3 linked regions of the Saccharomyces cerevisiae S288C genome follow. The main gene of each other region encodes a partner of the protein of the gene in region 3 in a complex. Each region holds a gene or a part of one and is shown on either strand. Other genes may lie near its edges. A codon is read from its position in the direction of its gene.

Region 1 (3,892 bases), on a different chromosome or scaffold from region 3:
TCCACCAAGGTCTAAACCCGTGACGTAGAAAACAAGCAGCCTGACAATCTTAAACTTCCATAAAAGCCTTCTTGCTACTTTAGACCATGGTGAGTGATACGTTAAAAGGAACATGCCCACCATCAGCATCAAGCTTCTCGGTGGTAAAAGTAGCCAGGTTATCATCACGTATATTGGAGATAATATGACCGTAGTATATAGAAGCCGTTGAATATCTTGCGTTCCAAGGTTAACCATGGGGGAGAGCAAAATATCTGACTTCAAGGATACTCTGTTCATTAAGAGAGCAATATCTTCTAATGTTGGTGAGGAGCTCAACGTACCCTCAATATAATTGTCCAATAGGGAATAACCCCACAAAATAGCAATGATGGCAAGATGTCCAAAGTACTTCACCAGCGTTTCAAAATACTCAACGGTAGTAATAAAGAGACACAGCATCAAAACACTGCTCCAAATATTCTTTCCTGTCCATGTAACAACGTTTAGGAATTCGTCAATGAGAATTAAATAAGGGTACAATTTCACCAACGCCTTTGAGATTGTGGGCGGTGTTGATGTCAAAAGCGGCGAAGTAGCTACGTTAACTTTCTCCAATGACCCGTTATCATTATCCTCAGACACCCCGCTTTCAGCTTCGTTCTTTTCCAAAGCAGCTCGTATCACTTTTGTAGTATTGCCACCAATCCTCGGTTGCAGCGTCTCTGCAAACTTGGCTCTAGTCTCATGCACGTTAGTTGTGTTACCACTCATTGAAAATCAGTTTTTACACTCCGGAGGATCAACTAGACAGCTCGAATCCTAAATTGCAACCTTGCATGCCCACTTTACCTCAGTAGCGAACGTATCCAAGTATATATTTTGTGAAGCTGATCCAAAAACCCTTTAGTCCTCTTCCCGCTTCTTTCCGTGCAACCGGAGAATAATAAGAAAAAGCCATGCGCATCTCTATCTGAAGTGGACTCAAGCTAAAGCCATCGAAAGCTCCATCACTTAATCAAAGCTCCAGGTATTCATGTTCAGAAAGAGATTAGTGAACAAAAGCTCTTCTGATGAAAAGAACCAGAAAAAGAGGCAGAAAATTAATTTTAGCGAAGAGAAACTAGTGGCCAGCGATGAAGAAAAGGGTTCCAGTGACCTCATGAGCTTAGCCAAGAGTGGAAATAGCAGGACACTTCAACTTTCACATGAGAATGAAGGTAAACTACAGAAAAAGGGTGAGGATTTAGATAAATACACTTTAACGGTCAACGACGACAGCACTAAAGAAGATCTTCTAAACTTTGAGAGAAAAGAGCTGGCTGAGAAGGCAAAGAAGAGGCGACCTAGTGATGACAATGAGCTGGTACTGAACATGAGCGGTAAAAATAAACGCCTCACTAAACAGATTAACCAACCAACGAATATCCGGACCACGGTGCTGATGGATTTTCAGCCCGACGTTTGCAAAGATTACAAACAGACGGGATACTGTGGTTACGGAGATAGCTGCAAGTTCTTACACTCGAGGGATGATTTCAAGACTGGCTGGAAGCTGAACCAAGAATGGAATGCGGATAAAGAGGACTCCAAAGCGGTTACTCTAGACTTGGAAAAGATACCGTTCAAGTGCACTCTTTGTAAGGAAGATTACAAGTCTCCAGTGGTCACAAACTGTGGCCATTATTTTTGTGGATCGTGTTTTGCCAAAGATATGAAAAAGGGCACCAAATGCTTTATATGCCACAAGGAGACCCACGGCAGTGCAAAAGTAGCATCTGACTTACAGAAGATGCTAAATAAAAGGAAAAGTTGATGGAGAATGCCATATCACCCCAAAAATTACACGCACCCGATGCTAATGTACAGGAATTATAGAGCACATGACCCATAGATTTATCGAGCATTGTTGCAATTTCGAAAGACTCTTTCACATAATAAAGTATGTAAACTATATAGATAGAAGATGTCCCGTGTCTTTTTGTCTACTAAATGATGATCTGCTCATTTAAAGTCGCCGCGACTACTTTGACAAAAAAAAAAAACTTAGAAAATACGACAAATAGAGATTATTGAATGAAGTACATTGAAAAAAGAAAGAAGAAAGGCACATAGCAGCACACAATGTCGCACCAAAACCAGCTTATTCCACAAGCTTATATTTCTAACTTTCATAACAGATTGACAAACGAAGATGATGGTATCCCCATCTTTACAATGGCTCAACAAACAAGGCAGCATAAAAGGGCTAAAGTGGTCAACTATGCGGAATATGACAACGATCTCTTTGATGAATTCAATATGAACGGTTCTAATTTCAACAATGCTGATACACACTATAAAGATAATGCAGTGTCTCATGAAAATACTCCGGCACTTACAAATGGTGTTACCATGGACGGTTCCGAATACAATGTCCTAGAGAACATGAATGGAGCTGATAGTATTATCTCTAACAACAAATACGATGCGGGTTCAAACATGGTTGTGGAATCTTTATCCGGTTTGAATAGCAATAACAACGCCAGCAATGGTCCGAGCAACAAAGCGCAGGCACAGGATATTGGAAACGCCGTTCTACCGGATCTGCAAGACCAACACCACAACCCCTTCAACATATTGAGATACCCTAAAATAAGAGATACTTTCATTAACGGAAAAGTGGTGTCTCCATATAGACTCAACACTGATCAAGAAACGAAGGCAAACGCCAATTCTGGAGAGGCAATCATGATACCAATTACTTTGGATATAGAACATATGGGTCATACCATAAAAGACCAGTTTCTCTGGAACTACAATGACGACTCCATATCTCCGGAGGAATTTGCCTCTATATACTGTAAAGATCTTGATATGACTTCCGCTACCTTACAAACTCAAATTGCGAATATAATAAAAGAGCAGTTGAAAGACCTCGAAAATATTGCAGCCACTGAGATAATGTCTGACCTCCACGTGATAATCAACCTAACCTGCAACTTACAAGACAGATTTTTTGAAGATAACTTCCAGTGGAACTTGAACGACAAATCACTTACTCCAGAAAGATTTGCTACATCCATTGTACAGGACCTTGGCTTAACAAGAGAGTTCATCCCCTTAATATCTCAATCGCTTCATGAAACTATCTTGAAGATAAAGAAGGACTGGGTAGATGGCCACTTGATTCAGGACCATGTCCCAAACGATGCCGCATTTGGGTACTTATCTGGTATAAGGCTGGATATTGATGAACTGGGCTCCAATTGGTGCCCAAGGGTGGAAATATTAACAAAAGAAGAAATACAAAAGAGAGAAATTGAAAAAGAAAGAAACTTAAGAAGATTGAAAAGAGAAACTGATAGATTATCTAGAAGGGGCAGGAGAAGATTAGATGACTTAGAAACCACAATGAGAATGTAGTAACTTTGCTTTTCTTGTTACAGAATTGTATTATTATAAGTATTATTAATCAAACGGGAAGGACAAAAAATTTAACAAACGCAGAAGCAACTAAATCAAGACTAAAGAGAACGTAAAAAAAGTCATGCACTTCTTTGAGATACACGTTACCAAAAGAATACAAAATGTTTATCACCAACACTGATAGATCTTGTTTCTATTTGGACTAATTCGCAATTTGACATATATGACATATATTACGGAGAATTTTTAAATATGCTTATATTACATGTGTATAATTTACGTATTCTTGAAGGTTTTGAAAGGTTCAGACGCCTCAATTTTTCCTATATTACTTTCTATTATCTTTATTACAATCGCAGATAGCGAACTTTGCAAAGTAGTATGAGGAATCTGATTAGGTATGTTCATATTACTATCAAGCATCCTTAGCTGCAAAAGTTTGTCATGCTCCCAAAACCCATCTGCGATTCTCAACACAGATACCAAAAACGCATCTTTTGCGGCG
Region 2 (6,467 bases), on a different chromosome or scaffold from region 3:
AATAAATTCGTCTCTGAAAAAGATGTGATAGGATTATTCGATTGGAAAGACTTATCAGTAATTAATCTTGAAGTGATGGTTTGGTTGACTAAAGGGCTGATAATGCAAAACTCATTAGAGTCATCAGAAATTGCAAAAAAGTTTATTGATTTACTGTCTAATGAAGAGATTGGCTCACTTGTATCGAAGCTATTCGAAGTTTTTGTCATGGATATCAGTTCTTTGAAGAAATTTAAAGGTATCAGTTGGAATAATAACGTTAAAATCTTGTACAAACAAAAATTCTTCGGTGACATTTTTCAAACACTAGTCAGCAACTATAAAAATACCGTGGACATGACCATTAAATGCAATTATTTAACTGCATTATCCTTAGTGTTGAAGCATACTCCAAGCCAATCGGTTGGTCCTTTTATCAACGATTTATTCCCGCTTTTATTGCAGGCTTTGGATATGCCTGATCCTGAAGTAAGGGTATCCGCTTTAGAAACTCTGAAGGACACTACGGATAAACATCACACTTTAATTACTGAACACGTAAGCACAATAGTTCCATTATTACTATCTCTTTCGCTTCCGCACAAATATAATAGTGTCAGTGTCAGGTTAATAGCCTTACAGCTTCTAGAAATGATTACGACTGTAGTACCTCTAAACTATTGTTTGAGCTATCAGGACGATGTTCTAAGCGCTTTAATACCAGTTTTATCTGACAAAAAAAGAATAATAAGAAAGCAATGCGTTGACACAAGACAGGTTTATTATGAATTAGGCCAAATCCCGTTCGAGTAAACGCTTGTATTTAATAATTTGTTCACATTGATGAGCACGTGAAAATCTTAGCGAGTATACTAAGTAAATATGATTCTTTTATGTATAGTACAGCAAAATAGCATTTATTTTTATTACGTTTAATCTTCTTCACTAGAGTCTTCCTCGTCGCTTAGTCCTACAGGTGCCAAACCCGGTGTCAGACCAGGATATCTATGATCTTTAACAAAATCGCTCTCTTTGATATCTTCCTTGAATTGTTTTCTTTTGAACCTTCTTCTTTTACTCCTGTCTGTGTTCGCAGTGGAAACTGTATCCTTCAAGATGGATTGCTGAATGTCTTCAAGCTCATCTCGTACTTCCTCTTCTAAATCCCACGACCTCAAATTTTGAGAATTCCTTTTGATTAACTTATTCAAATACTTCCTCTCATGGTCCGTTAATGTGCCCTCATGTTGATGTTTTTTCAAAACCTGGTGTTTTGCCAGTTGTTCAAGTTGCTCTTTATCTAATTTATGTTTCTTAACTTTTTTTTTTTTGACCAGTTTGCATTTTTTTTTAATTTTGTGAACGTCTCTGTTTTGTAACTGTACTCTCTTTTTCAAGTTCCTGTCGATTAACTGAGCTTTTGACCCATTGTTTACACTTGTTTTGCCATTATTAGCTCTGATTTTGGGAACGCCAGGCAAAAGGTTTGATAGCAGTCCATTAACAACCGAGGTGGCCTGGTATTTAGATGTTTGGCTCAGCGAAGATGACATTTTGGCCTAGCTAGCTCCCTCCTTAAGTTGTTCGTATTCTAAACAACTTTTCCACAAAACAATATTTCCACAGTTGCCAGCTATATTTCCATATTCCTTAGTTAAAGCTCATCGCAAAATTTTTCAAAGAGCATTAGGGTCACGTGTATACATTCACGTGACTATCTAGTACCCGCCCCGTGGCAAAAAAAGAAGACACCAATTTGGCACTGAGAAAAGAAAAAGTTTATCAATAACGAAAACGAAACTTAAGAGGAAAAAGAGTATAGAGAAAAACAAAGGCAATCAGCGGCTAATTTGGTGGAAATAACAACACAAAGAGGCAGCACAGTTTAGAGCAAGCGCGAATGCTTCAGGAACAATCTGAGTTGATGAGCACGGTGATGAATAATACACCTACAACAGTTGCCGCATTGGCTGCGGTTGCTGCAGCCTCTGAAACAAATGGAAAGCTGGGGTCCGAGGAACAACCTGAAATCACTATTCCAAAGCCGAGGAGTAGTGCACAGTTGGAGCAGCTACTCTACCGCTATAGGGCTATTCAAAACCATCCAAAGGAAAACAAGTTGGAGATCAAGGCAATAGAAGACACTTTTAGGAATATATCACGTGATCAGGATATCTACGAAACAAAGTTGGATACCTTGAGAAAGAGTATAGATAAAGGATTTCAGTACGATGAGGATTTATTGAATAAACACTTGGTTGCCTTACAGTTACTGGAGAAAGATACAGATGTCCCTGACTACTTCTTAGACTTACCAGACACCAAGAACGATAACACTACGGCGATCGAAGTAGACTATTCTGAAAAGAAACCAATAAAAATATCAGCAGATTTCAATGCGAAGGCCAAAAGTTTGGGTTTAGAATCAAAATTTTCTAACGCTACGAAGACTGCATTGGGCGATCCAGATACCGAAATAAGGATTTCTGCACGTATATCCAACAGAATTAACGAGCTGGAAAGATTACCTGCCAATCTGGGTACATACTCACTAGATGATTGTTTAGAGTTTATTACAAAAGATGATTTATCGTCCAGAATGGATACTTTCAAAATCAAAGCTCTTGTGGAATTGAAAAGTTTAAAGCTACTAACTAAACAAAAATCGATTAGGCAAAAGTTAATCAACAATGTTGCCAGCCAGGCACACCACAATATTCCATATCTACGTGATTCTCCTTTCACAGCAGCTGCACAAAGATCTGTTCAAATTAGAAGCAAAGTTATTGTCCCACAAACCGTTCGTTTGGCAGAAGAATTAGAAAGGCAACAACTATTGGAAAAAAGAAAAAAGGAACGTAATTTACATTTACAAAAAATAAACAGCATCATTGATTTCATCAAAGAAAGGCAGTCCGAGCAATGGTCTCGTCAAGAACGTTGCTTTCAGTTCGGTAGATTAGGCGCTTCATTACACAATCAAATGGAGAAAGATGAACAGAAAAGAATAGAAAGAACTGCTAAGCAACGTTTAGCTGCTTTGAAGTCTAACGATGAGGAGGCTTATTTAAAGCTTTTAGATCAAACTAAGGATACTAGAATTACACAGTTATTGAGGCAGACTAATTCCTTTTTGGATTCTTTGTCGGAGGCTGTTAGAGCACAACAAAACGAAGCAAAAATTCTTCATGGTGAGGAAGTCCAACCAATTACAGATGAAGAAAGAGAAAAGACTGACTATTATGAAGTCGCTCATAGGATCAAAGAAAAAATTGATAAACAACCTTCTATTCTTGTTGGCGGCACTTTAAAAGAGTATCAATTACGAGGTTTAGAATGGATGGTGTCGTTGTACAATAATCATTTGAACGGTATTCTAGCAGATGAGATGGGTTTAGGTAAAACCATCCAATCTATTTCTCTAATAACATATCTTTATGAAGTTAAGAAAGACATCGGCCCTTTCCTAGTCATTGTACCTTTATCCACAATAACCAATTGGACTTTAGAATTTGAAAAATGGGCTCCGAGCTTAAACACTATTATATACAAAGGTACACCAAATCAAAGACACTCTTTACAGCATCAAATAAGGGTTGGAAATTTTGACGTCTTATTGACAACATATGAGTATATTATTAAAGATAAATCTCTTTTATCAAAACATGATTGGGCTCATATGATCATTGACGAAGGTCATAGAATGAAAAATGCTCAATCGAAGTTATCATTCACAATTTCTCATTATTATCGTACAAGAAACAGATTGATTTTAACGGGTACTCCTTTGCAGAACAATCTACCAGAATTATGGGCACTGTTGAACTTTGTTTTGCCTAAAATTTTCAATTCTGCGAAGACTTTTGAAGATTGGTTTAATACTCCATTTGCCAACACCGGTACCCAAGAGAAACTAGAATTAACGGAAGAAGAAACTCTGTTAATTATTAGAAGATTACATAAGGTGTTAAGGCCATTTTTATTGCGTCGTTTGAAAAAGGAAGTGGAAAAGGATTTGCCTGATAAAGTGGAAAAAGTTATCAAATGTAAACTGTCTGGTTTGCAACAACAGTTATATCAGCAAATGCTAAAGCATAACGCGCTATTTGTTGGTGCAGGGACTGAGGGGGCTACAAAGGGTGGTATTAAAGGTTTGAACAATAAGATTATGCAATTAAGAAAAATCTGCAACCATCCATTCGTATTTGATGAAGTGGAAGGTGTTGTAAACCCCTCAAGAGGTAATAGTGATTTACTTTTCAGAGTAGCGGGCAAGTTTGAATTACTGGATAGAGTGCTACCGAAATTCAAAGCCTCAGGCCACAGAGTGCTAATGTTTTTCCAAATGACTCAAGTTATGGATATTATGGAAGACTTCCTAAGAATGAAAGATTTGAAGTATATGAGATTAGATGGTAGCACTAAGACTGAAGAAAGAACAGAAATGCTGAATGCATTTAATGCTCCAGATTCAGATTATTTCTGTTTCCTTTTGTCAACTAGAGCCGGTGGTTTGGGTTTGAATTTACAAACTGCAGATACGGTGATCATCTTTGATACAGATTGGAATCCACACCAAGATTTACAGGCCCAAGATAGAGCTCACAGAATTGGACAAAAGAATGAGGTTAGAATTTTAAGATTAATTACCACTGATTCCGTAGAGGAAGTTATTTTGGAAAGAGCTATGCAGAAATTGGACATTGACGGCAAGGTTATCCAGGCAGGTAAGTTTGATAACAAATCAACTGCAGAAGAGCAAGAAGCTTTTTTGAGAAGATTGATCGAAAGTGAAACGAACAGGGATGATGATGACAAAGCAGAATTAGATGACGATGAGTTAAACGATACTTTGGCCAGAAGCGCTGATGAAAAAATACTATTTGATAAAATTGATAAGGAGAGAATGAACCAAGAAAGAGCAGATGCTAAAGCGCAAGGCCTGAGAGTCCCTCCTCCTAGATTGATTCAATTAGACGAGCTACCCAAAGTATTCAGAGAAGACATTGAAGAACATTTCAAGAAAGAGGATTCTGAACCATTGGGAAGGATTAGACAAAAGAAAAGAGTTTACTATGATGACGGTCTAACTGAAGAACAATTTTTGGAGGCTGTAGAAGATGATAATATGTCTTTAGAAGATGCCATTAAAAAAAGACGTGAAGCACGTGAAAGAAGGAGATTACGTCAAAATGGTACAAAAGAGAATGAAATAGAAACCCTGGAAAACACGCCTGAAGCATCCGAAACTTCATTGATTGAGAACAATAGCTTCACTGCAGCTGTGGATGAGGAAACTAATGCTGATAAAGAGACTACAGCTTCCAGGTCAAAACGCCGGAGTAGTAGAAAGAAAAGGACCATTAGCATTGTTACGGCAGAAGACAAAGAGAATACTCAAGAAGAGAGTACATCTCAAGAAAACGGGGGCGCTAAGGTGGAAGAGGAAGTAAAAAGTAGCTCCGTTGAAATTATAAATGGTTCAGAATCCAAGAAAAAGAAACCGAAACTGACCGTCAAGATCAAACTAAACAAAACAACTGTGTTGGAGAATAATGATGGTAAGCGAGCAGAAGAAAAGCCAGAGAGTAAATCGCCCGCGAAGAAGACTGCAGCCAAAAAAACTAAAACTAAATCCAAGTCGCTTGGGATTTTTCCCACGGTGGAAAAATTGGTGGAAGAAATGCGCGAACAGTTAGATGAGGTAGACTCCCATCCAAGGACGTCCATTTTTGAAAAGCTTCCTTCGAAACGCGACTATCCGGACTATTTTAAAGTAATTGAAAAACCCATGGCCATTGATATTATATTGAAAAACTGCAAGAATGGCACTTACAAAACTTTGGAGGAGGTAAGGCAAGCCTTACAAACGATGTTTGAAAATGCTAGATTCTATAATGAAGAGGGATCCTGGGTTTACGTTGATGCTGACAAGTTAAATGAGTTTACTGATGAATGGTTCAAGGAACACTCTTCGTAACGTTTTCATCACCACATGTTTTTTTTTTTTACGACTATATCCCTTTCCCCTCTAATACTCTTTCTAGCCTTTTTTTCTACCTCTACATATGTTTATAAAATATATACCACTGTAACAATAAGATCGACAGAGCGAATATAATTCTTTGAGTAACTAATATCCTTTGGCTTATTCTCTGGGCTTATTAGTGCCGCAAAATAATTACCCGGCGGCGATGGACCAGTTAGCTTCGACCGTTTGCGATTCCGGGGCTAAGGAAGGGGCCTCTGCAAATAAGAAAGAGGCATTACACATAAATGATTGGCAAAGGGACTGCGGGAGTCAAGACCTACATGTAAGTCCGATTTACGATAACGGTTTAGATTCATTGGGTGTGTACTATTTATACTTTAACAAACCCGTGTGTTATTTAATAAGATCATATCTTGTTTGTTTTTCGCCCTCAATTTTGTTTCTGTCACATAGTCGCAGCAGCTGAATATAGATAGGAAGAGAGAAGGAAGCGATT
Region 3 (4,069 bases):
TTTGCAATTTCTTATTTGAAATTTCCATTTGCAGGTTCTTCTTATATAGTTTGTCCATTTGCAACAAGGTTGGATTGATTTTATTGTCTGTATTTGAAGTTTCATTACCAGATAGTTTATAATTGATGAAATCTCGTATGGACCGATTAGAAACGTGGCCGATGTATTCATCGTTCAATGTGAAAAAATCCTTGATTAATTCTTTGAACATGGTTTTTTTCAACTTTCCATTCAATCCAGCCTTATAGAATTTTTCCTGTGCAGACGTCATCGGACAATTTATGATATATTCTCTCTTTGGCGGCAGAATATTAGCCAAAACAACTTTTTTCAATCTTCTCAAAAGGAATGGTTTCAGAATTGTGTGTAAATTGGAAATCAAATTTTTCTGTAGTTCATCGTTGATTAACTTATTCAATGCTTCAGAGTTGGAACCGGAGCCTAAATTTAAGCTGTCGAAGTCAAACCATTTATTGAATATCTCGAAATCGGCAAAGATATCGGGCATTATGAAATTCAAAAGTGACCATAATTCAGCTAGGTTATTTTGTAAAGGCGTCCCTGTTAGTAGCAGTCTATTGGAAGTATTGATTTTTTTTAACTCTTTAATCAATCTACAGTTTATATTTTTCAGACGGTGGCCTTCATCAACAATTAAAAATTTCCAATTTTGACTCATGATTAAGTCGGTATCTCTTAAAATAATTTCATATGATGTGATGACGATCCCCGTGCCGCCGTGTTGTTTAAAGAAATTTTTCAACTTGGCAGAACGTTCCTTATAACCATTGGTCCCATAATATTTTAGAACTGGTAGATCAGGAGCGAATTTTGCAAATTCGTTCATCCAATTATCTAGGGTGCTTAATGGTGCAGTCACTAGAAAAGGACCCTTTGTGTCCATTTCATATATGAACGCCAAAAGAGCAATACTTTGAACAGTCTTACCAAGACCCATTTCATCGGCAAGAATTCCGTTCAGGCCATTTTCATAAAGAGTGATCAGCCAGTTAAGACCTTCTAGTTGGTAAGGTTTTAAAATACAGTTTTTCAATAGGCGAGGTTGCTTTATTGCTGCATCGTCTGGTGCGCCGTTTTGGGTGGTTGTATCTTCGTTCTTTTTCTGTTTTTTGAAGAAATCTGTTATTGATTTTTTTTTTGTTTTACGTTTTTTTGAAGAATGTTCTTCATCATCAGAGTTGCTGTTATCTTTTGTATTAGCGTTAGCCACTTCATTAGATCGATGTAGTAAAGTATCGGCGATTATACTGGAATATACCTGACTCTGCCTCACAAACTCGTTTAGTTTCTTAAGTTTTAAAGAAACCGTCTTGGTATCCATCTCGGAGAGCTCATCATCCAAGGATTTTTGCTCTGATTTCGTGTCTTTTGCCAATTTATCCACCACTTGGGCTTGAACAGCTTCTGTATCGGAATCGTCCTCTGAGTCCAGCTGAATATCTTCGTCTGAATGCACATCATCTTGTAACCATATGGGGGCAGTGTCATTGTCGCCTTTGCCATGTTTATTGTCCTCTGAATCCAAATCTGAATCTGAATCTGAAATGTCAGCCGTTAGGTCATTGACTTCCTTCTCCCGGTAATTGACGCCATTGCTCATGTTTCTCGTCCTTGCAGCCACCCTGGCCCCAACAGCATCCTCAACAACAGTCATCAGCGCCGCGTTTGAGCATCTGCTCATCTCATCGCCAAATTTGATACTTCCTTAATCCGTTACTCTTTTCTATGATAATTTAATTACGGCGTTCTCTTTGTCACCCGCTTGATGTAAAAAAGTTGGAAAAAATAAGTTTCATCAACATTGAATTAGTTCGTGAGGTTTATAGAGAGAAGGGTAGAGCAGAGAAGCAAAGAGTAGATAGAAGGCCAGGATAATGAGCGACACTGAAAAGGATAAGGATGTCCCTATGGTAGACTCGCACGAAGCGACCGAGGAGCCACCCACCACAAGCACCAACACGCCATCTTTCCCTCACTTAGCACAGGAACAGGCGAAGGAGGAATCTGCCACATTGGGAGCAGAAGTAGCTCATAAGAAAATCAATTACGAGCAAGAAGCACAGAAACTGGAGGAGAAGGCCCTTAGGTTCCTGGCAAAGCAAACTCACCCGGTGATTATTCCGTCGTTTGCCTCTTGGTTTGATATTTCGAAGATCCACGAGATCGAAAAAAGATCCAATCCCGACTTTTTCAACGATTCATCAAGGTTCAAGACACCAAAGGCATATAAGGACACAAGAAATTTTATCATCAACACGTACCGTCTTTCGCCGTACGAATATTTGACCATTACCGCTGTGAGAAGAAATGTTGCCATGGATGTTGCCTCGATAGTGAAGATTCACGCGTTCTTGGAAAAATGGGGCTTAATCAATTATCAGATTGACCCCAGGACCAAGCCCAGTCTTATTGGGCCAAGTTTTACGGGCCACTTCCAAGTGGTTCTGGACACTCCGCAGGGGTTAAAGCCATTTTTACCAGAGAATGTGATCAAGCAAGAAGTGGAAGGAGGAGATGGAGCGGAACCACAAGTCAAGAAGGAATTTCCCGTTAATCTCACAATCAAGAAGAACGTTTACGATTCTGCACAAGACTTCAATGCATTACAAGACGAAAGTAGAAACTCCAGGCAGATTCACAAAGTTTACATTTGCCATACATGCGGTAACGAGTCAATCAATGTGCGCTACCACAATTTGCGTGCACGGGACACCAACCTGTGCTCCCGTTGTTTCCAAGAGGGTCATTTCGGTGCCAACTTTCAATCTTCAGATTTCATCAGATTAGAAAACAACGGAAACTCGGTTAAAAAAAACTGGTCAGACCAGGAGATGCTACTATTGCTGGAGGGTATTGAAATGTATGAAGACCAGTGGGAGAAGATTGCTGACCACGTGGGTGGGCACAAGCGTGTAGAAGACTGCATTGAAAAATTCCTAAGCTTACCGATCGAGGACAACTACATCCGAGAAGTTGTTGGTTCAACGCTGAATGGTAAGGGTGGCGACAGCCGCGATGGTAGTGTGTCCGGTTCGAAGTTGATGGAATGCGTGAATGATGCTGTCCAGACGCTACTGCAAGGCGACGACAAATTGGGTAAGGTCTCTGATAAGTCGAGAGAGATCTCCGAAAAGTACATTGAAGAAAGCCAAGCGATAATCCAAGAGTTAGTCAAGCTGACCATGGAGAAATTAGAGAGCAAGTTTACAAAGCTGTGCGATCTAGAAACGCAACTGGAGATGGAAAAACTGAAATATGTGAAGGAATCTGAAAAGATGCTGAACGACCGATTATCACTGAGTAAACAGATTCTTGACCTGAACAAGTCGCTGGAGGAGTTGAATGTGTCGAAGAAACTGGTACTGATCTCGGAGCAAGTAGACTCGGGCATACAACTAGTGGAGAAGGACCAGGAGGGCGATGACGAAGACGGCAATACGGCCACAGGACATGGCGTGAAACGTGTAGGCAAGGAAGGCGAGGAAGTAGGCGAAGGCGACTCCATTGCAAAATTGCAGCCCCAGGTGTACAAACCGTGGTCATTGTAAAAAAATATATAAGAAAAAAAAAAAAAAAAAAAAAGAGAGCCTACAAAGTGTACTATTGTCATATTTTATATTTCTAATACAACGTATATAAAACTAGAGAGAAGAAATTTTATAAGTGAAAGTGAATGTGGATGCGTGCGCGTGTGCGTGTGCGTGTGCGTATGCGGATATGCTATTATTCCTCGCGGATGTAGAAGGGGTTGTGGTTGTCGTTTGCATTGGACGTCTCGTGGGCGGTATTGCTGTCGGTGGACAGATGCAAGGAATTGAGGACTCTGGTGTGCGCTACCGAGGCTGCTTTGTCGTTGTAAGATGACATGTCGTCATCTTCATCGATATCGTTATCGTTATCGTTATTGTTGTCTTCGATATTCTGCGATGTGTCCTGAAAGTCTGTATTGGAGTGCAGCGATCCGCCATTTTTTCCTTGGAAGTATTTTGTCTTCTCGATATTCAGCTGCTGCTTGAGTTTCTGCTCGTTCAGGTCATCGATCAGAGAG

What was found. The genes of interacting proteins can lie anywhere in the genome.
Region 1: the proteins of RSC8 (region 3) and SFH1 are in contact, whole or in part, in a cryo-EM structure (PDB 6V8O), measured with the Saccharomyces cerevisiae proteins. Residues at the interface, in NP_116695.3 of Saccharomyces cerevisiae: Arg71 (codon at 2,106), Phe72 (codon at 2,109), Leu73 (codon at 2,112), Ala74 (codon at 2,115), Lys75 (codon at 2,118), Thr77 (codon at 2,124), His78 (codon at 2,127), Pro79 (codon at 2,130), Ile81 (codon at 2,136), Arg100 (codon at 2,193), Ser101 (codon at 2,196), Ser109 (codon at 2,220), Ser110 (codon at 2,223), Arg111 (codon at 2,226), Phe112 (codon at 2,229), Lys113 (codon at 2,232), Phe124 (codon at 2,265), Tyr129 (codon at 2,280), Pro133 (codon at 2,292), Tyr134 (codon at 2,295), Glu135 (codon at 2,298), Tyr136 (codon at 2,301), Thr138 (codon at 2,307), Ile139 (codon at 2,310), Thr140 (codon at 2,313), Ala141 (codon at 2,316), Arg143 (codon at 2,322), Arg144 (codon at 2,325), Asn145 (codon at 2,328), Val146 (codon at 2,331); in NP_013425.1 of Saccharomyces cerevisiae: Ser2 (codon at 2,107), Gln4 (codon at 2,113), Asn5 (codon at 2,116), Gln6 (codon at 2,119), Leu7 (codon at 2,122), Ile8 (codon at 2,125), Pro9 (codon at 2,128), Gln10 (codon at 2,131), Ala11 (codon at 2,134), Tyr12 (codon at 2,137), Ile13 (codon at 2,140), Ser14 (codon at 2,143), Asn15 (codon at 2,146), Phe16 (codon at 2,149), Arg19 (codon at 2,158), Pro28 (codon at 2,185), Ile29 (codon at 2,188), Asp154 (codon at 2,563), Leu155 (codon at 2,566), Gln156 (codon at 2,569), Asp157 (codon at 2,572), Gln158 (codon at 2,575), His159 (codon at 2,578), His160 (codon at 2,581), Asn161 (codon at 2,584), Pro162 (codon at 2,587), Ile165 (codon at 2,596), Ile171 (codon at 2,614), Thr174 (codon at 2,623), Phe175 (codon at 2,626).
Region 2: the proteins of RSC8 (region 3) and STH1 are in contact, whole or in part, in a cryo-EM structure (PDB 6V8O), measured with the Saccharomyces cerevisiae proteins. Residues at the interface, in NP_116695.3 of Saccharomyces cerevisiae: Phe224 (codon at 2,565), Val226 (codon at 2,571), Asn227 (codon at 2,574), Leu228 (codon at 2,577), Thr229 (codon at 2,580), Ile230 (codon at 2,583), Lys231 (codon at 2,586), Lys232 (codon at 2,589), Asn233 (codon at 2,592), Val234 (codon at 2,595), Tyr235 (codon at 2,598), Gln239 (codon at 2,610), Ala243 (codon at 2,622), Leu244 (codon at 2,625), Arg249 (codon at 2,640), Asn250 (codon at 2,643), Ser251 (codon at 2,646), Asn281 (codon at 2,736), Leu282 (codon at 2,739), Cys283 (codon at 2,742), Arg285 (codon at 2,748), Cys286 (codon at 2,751), Phe287 (codon at 2,754), Gln288 (codon at 2,757), His291 (codon at 2,766), Asn295 (codon at 2,778), Phe296 (codon at 2,781), Lys313 (codon at 2,832), Leu321 (codon at 2,856), Leu324 (codon at 2,865); in NP_012140.1 of Saccharomyces cerevisiae: Ala53 (codon at 2,036), Glu56 (codon at 2,045), Gln57 (codon at 2,048), Leu59 (codon at 2,054), Tyr60 (codon at 2,057), Tyr62 (codon at 2,063), Arg63 (codon at 2,066), Ala64 (codon at 2,069), Gln66 (codon at 2,075), Asn67 (codon at 2,078), Glu80 (codon at 2,117), Arg101 (codon at 2,180), Asn116 (codon at 2,225), Lys117 (codon at 2,228), Leu119 (codon at 2,234), Val120 (codon at 2,237), Gln123 (codon at 2,246), Leu124 (codon at 2,249), Leu125 (codon at 2,252), Glu126 (codon at 2,255), Lys127 (codon at 2,258), Asp128 (codon at 2,261), Thr129 (codon at 2,264), Pro132 (codon at 2,273), Tyr134 (codon at 2,279), Phe135 (codon at 2,282), Leu138 (codon at 2,291), Arg202 (codon at 2,483), Leu206 (codon at 2,495), Leu209 (codon at 2,504).

Annotation. Positions count from the first base shown.
Region 1 is NC_001144.5:776,076-779,967, reverse strand, and holds SFH1 (Sfh1p), read left to right. Parts: upstream 1-2,103; coding exon 2,104-3,384; downstream 3,385-3,892. Other genes in the region: PEX30 (peroxisome biogenesis protein), read right to left, coding at 1-753; U2-type spliceosomal complex subunit CWC24, read left to right, coding at 1,016-1,795; MMS22 (Mms22p), read right to left, coding at 3,664-3,892. UniProt on the Saccharomyces cerevisiae protein: Component of the chromatin structure-remodeling complex (RSC), which is involved in transcription regulation and nucleosome positioning. RSC is responsible for the transfer of a histone octamer from a nucleosome core particle to naked DNA.
Region 2 is NC_001141.2:116,113-122,579, forward strand, and holds STH1 (RSC chromatin remodeling complex ATPase subunit STH1), read left to right. Parts: upstream 1-1,879; coding exon 1,880-5,959; downstream 5,960-6,467. Other genes in the region: MET18 (Met18p), read left to right, coding at 1-792; RRT14 (Rrt14p), read right to left, coding at 912-1,532. UniProt on the Saccharomyces cerevisiae protein: Catalytic component of the chromatin structure-remodeling complex (RSC), which is involved in transcription regulation and nucleosome positioning. RSC is responsible for the transfer of a histone octamer from a nucleosome core particle to naked DNA.
Region 3 is NC_001138.5:227,013-231,081, reverse strand, and holds RSC8 (Rsc8p), read left to right. Parts: upstream 1-1,895; coding exon 1,896-3,569; downstream 3,570-4,069. Other genes in the region: IRC5 (putative ATPase), read right to left, coding at 1-1,702; anaphase promoting complex subunit CDC26, read right to left, coding at 3,745-4,069.